Lonchura striata: one gene and its partner. The protein of the gene in region 2 binds, or shares a complex with, the protein of the main gene of each other region. Links are inferred from orthologs where the notes say so. Each region holds a gene or a part of one and is shown on either strand. Other genes may lie near its edges.

Region 1 (3,901 bases), on a different chromosome or scaffold from region 2:
CCGGCGGCTACTGGGAGTTGTAGAGGCCGTCGTGGCCGTCGAGGCCGTCGTGGCCCAGCAGCTCGGGGCCGCCGCAGTACTTGGGGTCGTAGACCTGGCGCGGCAGGCCGTACACCGTCATGCCCTGCTGCGAGGCGCCCTTGTTGCTGCCCATCTGCAGCCCGATGGTCAGCGTGTCGCAGTGCTCCATGCCCAGCGCCGGCTCGAAGATCTGCCGCTTCGTCCCCGGCGCCGTCATCCCCGCCTGGCCGGCGGGAACGGGCTCCGGTCAGGGACGGGATCGGGGCAGGGACGGGATCGGGGCAGGGACGGGATCGGGACGGGGACGGGCTCGGGGCAGGGATGGGATCAGGGCAGGAACTGGCTCCAGTCAGGAACGGGCTCGGGGCAGGAACCGGCTCCGGTCAGGGACCGGCTCGGGCGGTGGCCGCGGGCACCCCGAGGGGCTCACAGCCACCCCGGGGCTGTGGGGGGATGCTCGGGGGTTCCTCCGTTCTGCTCCCCGTGCTGCCCGCAGGGTGTCTGTCCCCTCCCTGTCCCCAGAGTCCCTCTGTGCCCCCCTCAGAGCCCCTTTGTCCCCTGCTCCGCTGTCCCCGGGGCTGCCTGGGCCACCGGCCGGGCCGGTGGCACCTCAGGGTCCCCGGCTCTGTCTGTCCCCGCTGCCCGCGGGCTCTCCGCTCCCTTTGTCCCCCTAACCCGGGACATCCAAGTCCCCTGGTGCCATCTCTCCCTGTGTCCCCATGCGGTGGCAGTGTCCCCCCATGGTGGCAATGTCCCTGTAGGGTGGCAGTGTCCCCATGGGGTGGCAGTGTCCCCCCATGGTGGCAATGTCCCTGTAGGATGGCACTGTCCCCGTGGAGTGGTAGTGTCCCCGTGTCCCCCGTGCTGGCAGTGTCCCCATGGAGTGGCAGTGTCCCCTGTGCTGGCAGTGTCCCCATGTCCCCATGTCCCCCCATGCTGGCAGTGTCCCTGTGGAGTGGCAGTGTCCCCATGTCCCCGTGTCCCCCATGCTGGCAGTGTCCCCATGGAGTGGCAGTGTCCCCGTGTCCCCCCATGCTGGCAGTGTCCCCGTGTCCCCACCTGGCTGGCGCCTTTGTTGGTGCCCATCTGGAGGCTGATGGTGGCCTGGTCCAGGGGCTGGTCCGTGCCCAGTTTGGGGTCGTACAGGTGCCGCCGTGTCCCGTACGCCGTCATGCCCTGCTGGCTGGCGAACTTGTTGGTGCCCATCTGGGGACAGCGACGGCCACGGTGTCACCAGCTGTCCCCAGCACGCCCCCCCCGTGTCCCCCCAGCGTCCCCGGGTGTCACCTGCAGCCCGATGATGTTCCTGCCCTCGCGCAGCTTCTCGGGGTGGAAGCGCCGCTGCTGCTTCTCGGCGTATTTCACCCCCAGCCCCACCTTGTTCCCCTTTGTCTTGGCCTGGCGGAGACCGTGGGCTTGGGGGGGGGCCTCACGGGGACCCCCGGACCCCAAATCCACTCCCCGGACCCCAAATCCCCTCCTTGGACTCCAAATTCCTTCCCCAGACCCCAAATTCCTTCCCTACACCCCAAATCCCCTCCCTGGACCCCAGATTCTTCCCCCAGACTCCAAATCCCCTCCTTGGACCCCAAATCCCCTCTCTGGACCCCAAACACCTTCCCCAGACCCCAAATCCCCTCCTTGGACCCCAAATCCCCTTTCTGGACCCCAAATCCCCTCCCCAGGCTGCAAATACCCTCCCTGGACCCCAGATTCTTCCCTCAGACTCCAAATCCCCTCCTTGGACCCCAAATCCCCTCTCTAGACCCCAAATCCCCTTCTCAGACCCCAAATACCCTCCCTGGACCCAAATCCCCTCCTTGGACCCCAAACCCCCTCCCCAGACCCCAAATCTCCTCTCCAGACCCCAAATCCCCGCTCTGGATCCCCCCCAGCGTGTGGCCGGTGTCCTCTGAGGGGACACGAGGACCCCCAGGAGCCCCCCGGACCCCCGGCCCCCCCCAGGACCCCCGGGAGCTGACCTGGCTGGCGAGGGCGATGAGCGTGGACTGGACCTGGGTGTGGTTGGTGTTCTCGAAGAGGTCGTTGGCCTCAAAGATGTCGTGGGGCTTCACCCCGTAGCGCGTGATGGCCCTCAGGAAGTTCCCGATGTTCTCCAGCTGCGGGCGGGGGGAGTCGGGGCGGGGTTCGGGGTCAGATCCTCCCCCCCAGAGCCGCCCCCAGCCCCGGTTTTGGGGGGTCCCCTCACCTTGTGCCAGTTCTGGACGGGTTCGTTCACCTTGGGCACCGAGCCCGGCTGCAGTTTGTTGATGAGCCTGGAGGGGCCGAGCACGGGTGGGGTCAGGGGGTGACCCCAGAGTGACCCCGGGGTGACCCCTGGGTGACCCCTGGGTGACCCCTGGGTGACCCCAGAGCCCGGCCAGGAGCGGGGTGTGGGGGACAGGCACGGCGGGGTTGGGGGGCTGTGCTCAGCAGGCTCGGGGTCAGCCCGGGTGAGGAATGGGTTAAAATTCACCCTCCGGACCGGGGCCGGTCCCAGCCCGCGGGGACAGAGCCGGGGACACAGCCGGGGTCCCAGCGGGGTCCCGGGGGTCGCACGGGGTCCCGGGGGTTCCAGCGGGGTCCCGGGGGTTGAACGGGGTCCCGGTGGGGGTCCCGGGGGTCGCACGGGGTCCCGGGGGTCGCACGGGGTCGTACTCGCAGAGGATGACGCCGTCCTTGAGCCCGTCCATGAAGTTGTCCCCGATCCGGCGCCCCGTGGTCCCCTCGATCCAGGCACGGAGCTCCCGCTCGTGCTGCGGGTCGTACTTCTGGGCCAGCTGCGGGGACAGGGACACGGGACATGGGGACATCGCCGGGGGGACACGGGACATGGGGACACGGGACACGGGACATGGGGACACCGCCGGGGGGACACGGGACATGGGGACACGGGGACACGGGACATGGGGACAGGGGACACGGGGACAGGGGACACGGGACACGGGGACACCGTCGGGGGGACAGGGGGACTCCGCCAGGGGGACGTGGTGGCACGGAGAATGTCGGGGACACCCTCACGGGGACGAGGGGACACGGGGGACATTGCGCCGAGGCCACGGAGGGTGCGGGGACACCGCGGGGGACACGGGGACACCGGCACGGGGACACAGACGGGGAACGTGGGGACACCCCAAGGAGGGACAATGGGGACACCCCAAGGAGGGGACACCCTAAGGAGGTGACAGTGGGGACACCCCAAGGATGTGACGTTGGAGACACCCCAAGGAGGGGACACTGGGGACACCCCAAGGCGGGGACACCCTCAGGGAAGAGGCGGCGGCCGCACTGGGGACGCGGGATCCCCGCTGGCCCCGGTTCCCCCGTTCCCGCGGGGCCGGAGGGAGCCGGGAGGGCCGGGGGAGCCCGGACCCCCCCCCGCCCCGCCCGGCCCCCCCGGGAGCCGCGGGCGACCGGGCCGGCCGAACCTTTGCCCATATATAGCCCCGGCCCGGGGCCGCCGCCGCCCGCCCGCCGCGCTCCGCCGCCTTATAAGGGCTCACGGCGGGGCCGGGGGCCGCCGGGCCCCCCCCGGGCCGCCGATCCCCCCCCGTTAACCCTTAACGGGCCGGTGCGCGGCGGGACCCCCCCCCCGCCGTGTCCATCCCCCCGCCGTGTCCGGTATCTCCCGCCCGCCGCGGGGCCCCCCCGGGCCACCCGAACCGCCCCCGTTAACCCTTAACGGGGCGGACACCGGCGGGACGCCACCCGGTGCTCGTGGGGGGCGTCCCGGGGTCCGCCCGCTCCGTTCCGGTGTCGCCCCGTGGCCTCCTCAGTCCCGGTGGGGGTTCCGGTGTCGCCGCCGCTTCAGCTCGGTGACCGTCACCTCCCGCCCGCCGCGGGCTCGGCGGTCGGCGGGGCTCCCCCGGTCCGCCGAGCC
Region 2 (3,901 bases):
TGCGTGAAGGAAAACCCTGCACTCCGGGGAAGTCTGATCAGTTTGGTACAGCAGAAACTTGGGCTTTCACATGGGTATTTGGGCCAGGCAGAAAATCTCCCAGATTTTAAGTTAAGGGCTTTTTTTTCAGTGCTCTGAAAGCCAGATGCCCTGCCTCCAGGCTTTTCCAGTGCAGACAGACTTGACCGATATTCCCATGAAAATCTGGGTTTTTGGAACCCGGAGCTTGCTGAGGCTTGAGGAGGAGCCATGCCAGACGCTGGCTTGTGCTTCCACTCGGGGAAGACAACAAAACCCGTCTCTTTAAAAGCAAAGTAAAGGGGGGATAAGTTCTTTGAGGAGAACTGGCACCTTGAGCGGAGCAGAGGGAGCAGGACGGGAGGTCCGCGGCTCGGACCTGTGTGCTGGCTTCCAGCAAAAGGCCGGGAGGGCAGGCACCGGGAGCTGCTCCCGGCCGGCCCCCTCCTTCCTCGGCAGCCCGCGGGGCGTGGGCGGCGCGGGGCGCGGCGGGGCCGGCGGGAGGGAGCGGGGCGAGCATGTGCATCCTCCCGCCGCCCCTGCCTCCCTCCCCGCTCGCCGCCGCGGGTGTGTGTGTGTATGTGTGTGTGTGTGTGTGCATCTCGGCTCCCTCGCCAGCCCGGCCTGACGCAGGCGGATCCACATCGCCCCTGACAACACCCCGGCTCCGGAGCGCCGTGCCGGGGGTCCGGCTGCGGCGGCGGCCCCGCGGGGCCGGGCCGAGCCCAGGGGGGCGGCGGGGGCCGGGGTGGCCCGAGCGCAGGGAGGCGGCCCCGGGGGGGAAAGTTGCCGGGAGCGGCGAGGGGCGAGCGCGGCGGCAGGACCATGGGCACTTTGCGGGATTTACAGTACGCGCTGCAGGAGAAGATCGAGGAGCTGCGGCAGCGGGATGCGCTCATCGACGAGCTGGAGCTGGAGTTGGACCAGAAGGACGAACTGATCCAGAAGCTGCAGAACGAGCTGGACAAGTACCGCTCGGTGATCCGGCCCGCCACGCAGCAGGCGCAGCAGCAAAGCGCCGGCACCTTGCAGGGCGAGCAGCGGACCAAGCGCCAGGCGATCTCGGCCGAGCCCACCGCCTTCGACATCCAAGATCTCAGCCACGTCACCCTCCCCTTCTACCCCAAGAGCCCGCAGTAAGCAGGGGGTCACCCCGCCGCTCAGCCTCCCCTCTCCCTCATCCCGCTCCATCCCCGGCCTCGCCGCCGCCCGCCGGGCAGGGAGCGGAGCGCGGCATTCCCGCATCCTCCCCGGGTGGCCCCGCGGGGTGGGAAAGTTGCGAGCGCCGGGTTTGCGAGGGGGGAAGAGCGGCAGGAGTGAGCGCCGAGGTGCCAGCGGAGCGGGGCGCCCGGCTCCGACAGCCCGTCCCGGCTGCGGGGGGACCCGGCCCCCATCCCTGCGGGGGACGGTGCTGCCGGCGGGTTGAACCGGATCGCGTCGTGGGCACGGCGGCTTCGTCGCTGCGGGAGGGAGCGGGAGAAAGCCGGGGCTCGCTGCGGGACCCCGCAGGGAGACATTCCCAGCTGGGAAACTTGGAGGCCGGCGGGATGCGGTGCCCGGCTCTCCGGGAGGGGGCTGGTGTTTTGGGGAGGGGAGTCTGGCAGAAGCAGGAGCTTATTGCAGTGTCCGGGTGTGCGGGGGGCAGGGAAAGTTGCGGGGATCCTCAGGTGCCAGCGCGCCGGGGGATGCGCTGCCCCGGTTTCACACCTGCCGCAGATTAGGGAAATTAGAGCGCCTTAATGGGGAAGCGGAGCCCTCCCTCGCTCCGTGCCTTTCCCTGGCCGGTACGTCTCCGTGCCTTTGGTTCAGCGCTCCTCAAGGGATGAAAAAGGAGGAAGGAAAAGGTGATGAGCGGATGCTCGCCGCGCCGGGCTCCATGTGCGGGGCCGGGGCGCAGCCTCCCCGTCGGTGGGGCTGCCAAACCCTTCCTCCCCTCCGCGGCCGGCGTCTTCCTCGCGGGATGGTAACGGGGAGCGGAGCCGGTAGTGCGGGGCGTGTGGGACGGGGCGGGCGGTGGCGGGGCACGGTGGCGGGGACCGTGCCGGGGCTGGCCCGCTCCCCGCGCAGCCTCAGCCCTTCCCGCCGCCATGGCGGGCCCCGCCGTCTCCAGGCAACTGCCCGCCCTCAGGACGGCCGCCATGGCCGGACCCCGCCGCGCCGGGCCTCGTGTGCCCCTCCTGCCGCTCGCTCCCGCCACATCCCATTCCCACTTTGCCGTGCCCGCCCCCCATTCCCACCGCCACAGATATTTTGCCCTTTTAAGGCGTCCGGCCGCGCCGTTCTGAAGGATGTCAGGGGACGAACGGCGGTGGCGCCCGCAACGCCTCCCCTGCACCCCCAAAACGAGTAAAACACCCCAAAAAGTGAGCTGGCAGCACACGGGGGGCTGCGGTGGCGGAGGCCAGGCGGGCGAGCGGTCTGCGGAAGCCCTGGGGTGCGTGGTGAGCACCCAAGGTGGGATAAGGCATCCCACGGTGTTCATTTCCCCTGGGAACGCAAAGCCCCACACGGGTTGGTTTCCTTGTCGGCGCTCTCGAAGTGCGAATGGAGCTCCCAGAACTCCGGGAAGCGCCACAGGTTTCAGCAGAGCCAGTCCGCAGCCTCTGCCGTCCCCACTGAAATAGGTGGGAAGCCTGGCAAAAGCCTTGGGGGAACGTTTTCCAGCTGGAATTTTCAGCGCTCCTTGTATGCATGCAGTTCTGCGGTCTGGTGTGGGGTGTAATGCCCAACTCCTCCGAGGCGGTGTTTCATATTGATTATCTCTGAAGTCCAAGACTTCTAATATTATTAACAATTTTGATGTCAACTTGTGCTTTCAGGTTGTAATCACTCAGGTGGGACATTCTGGGGGTTCGGAGCAGCCCAGGATAGTGGAAGGTGTCCCTGCCCAAGGCAACAGGCTGGAATGAGAGAGCTCCTAGGGTGCCTTCCAACCCAAACCAGTCTGTGATTACAGGAAAAGATCCTTGCTAATGGTTTCAGGAGTGTACGTGGCTCTGGGAGACGTTGAGCGCTCTGTGTCAGCCCTAAGAGCCTGGTGACCAAGATAAGCTACTGTGGTGGTGAGGTTTAAGGTGGTGGGAACCTGGGAATAACAAAACCTGCACAAAAGGGTTGGGTTTTTTTCCCCCCCTGTTCGTGCTGAACCTCAGTGACTCTTGAGGTAATGGCACCCAACCTTTGGTTTTGTCAAGCCACCAAGAAGTGTTCAAAAGGCCGGTGGATGTGGCACTTGGGGATATTGGTTAGTGGTGGCCTTGGAAGTGCTGGGAGAGTGGTTGGACTTTATGATTTTAGAGGGGTTTTCCAATCAAGGTAATTCTAAAGTAGACTCTGTATTTTTTTTTTTTTCTTTTTTTTTTTTTGTAGTTAGGTGGTGCTGGATTAGCTCTCCTGATCTGGCAGAGGTTGCTGAAGATTGGTAGGATCAATAGCAGCAGAAACTCTCTGGGAACTGAATTATCATGAGAGTCACAGTAGGTACTTGAGGGTCTGTGGTGGTGAAAGCTGTTGTGATGCCACACAGAAGATTCTGTGTTGTAGAGTGGCTGAATTCTGAATGGGTGTAAGAGAGCTTGAGAGGGATTTGGGACAGCACACAGGGAATGGTTTCCCAGTGCCGGAGGGCAGGGATGGATGGGATATTGGGAATTGGGAATTGTTCCCTGGCAGGGTGGGCAGGCCCTGGCACAGGGTGCCCAAAGCAGCTGTGGCTGCCCCTGGATCCCTGACAGTGCCCAAGGCCAGGTTGGACAGGGCTTGGAGCAGCCTGGGACAGTGGAAGGTGTCCCTGACATGGCAGGGGTGGCACTGGATGGGCTTAAGATCTCTTCCAACCCAAACCATTTTGGGATTCTATGAATGGCTTTCAAAGTGTAAAAGT

Evidence for each region.
Region 1: PRKG1 (region 2) and CNN1 share a complex: the UniProt entries of both Homo sapiens proteins name them as parts of the cGMP kinase signaling complex. The link is inferred for Lonchura striata from reciprocal best matches to the Homo sapiens genes PRKG1 and CNN1.

What each region holds. Positions count from the first base shown.
Region 1 is NC_134623.1:1,330,001-1,333,901, forward strand, and holds the start of CNN1 (calponin-1), read right to left. Parts: upstream 2,761-3,901; 5' UTR 2,715-2,760; coding exon 2,680-2,714; intron 2,298-2,679; coding exon 2,231-2,297; intron 2,142-2,230; coding exon 2,004-2,141; intron 1,420-2,003; coding exon 1,309-1,419; intron 1,228-1,308; coding exon 1,081-1,227; intron 245-1,080; coding exon 8-244; 3' UTR 1-7. UniProt on the Homo sapiens protein: Thin filament-associated protein that is implicated in the regulation and modulation of smooth muscle contraction. It is capable of binding to actin, calmodulin and tropomyosin. The interaction of calponin with actin inhibits the actomyosin Mg-ATPase activity.
Region 2 is NC_134609.1:37,896,820-37,900,720, forward strand, and holds the start of PRKG1 (cGMP-dependent protein kinase 1), read left to right. Parts: upstream 1-771; 5' UTR 772-843; coding exon 844-1,154; intron 1,155-3,901. UniProt on the Homo sapiens protein: Serine/threonine protein kinase that acts as a key mediator of the nitric oxide (NO)/cGMP signaling pathway. GMP binding activates PRKG1, which phosphorylates serines and threonines on many cellular proteins.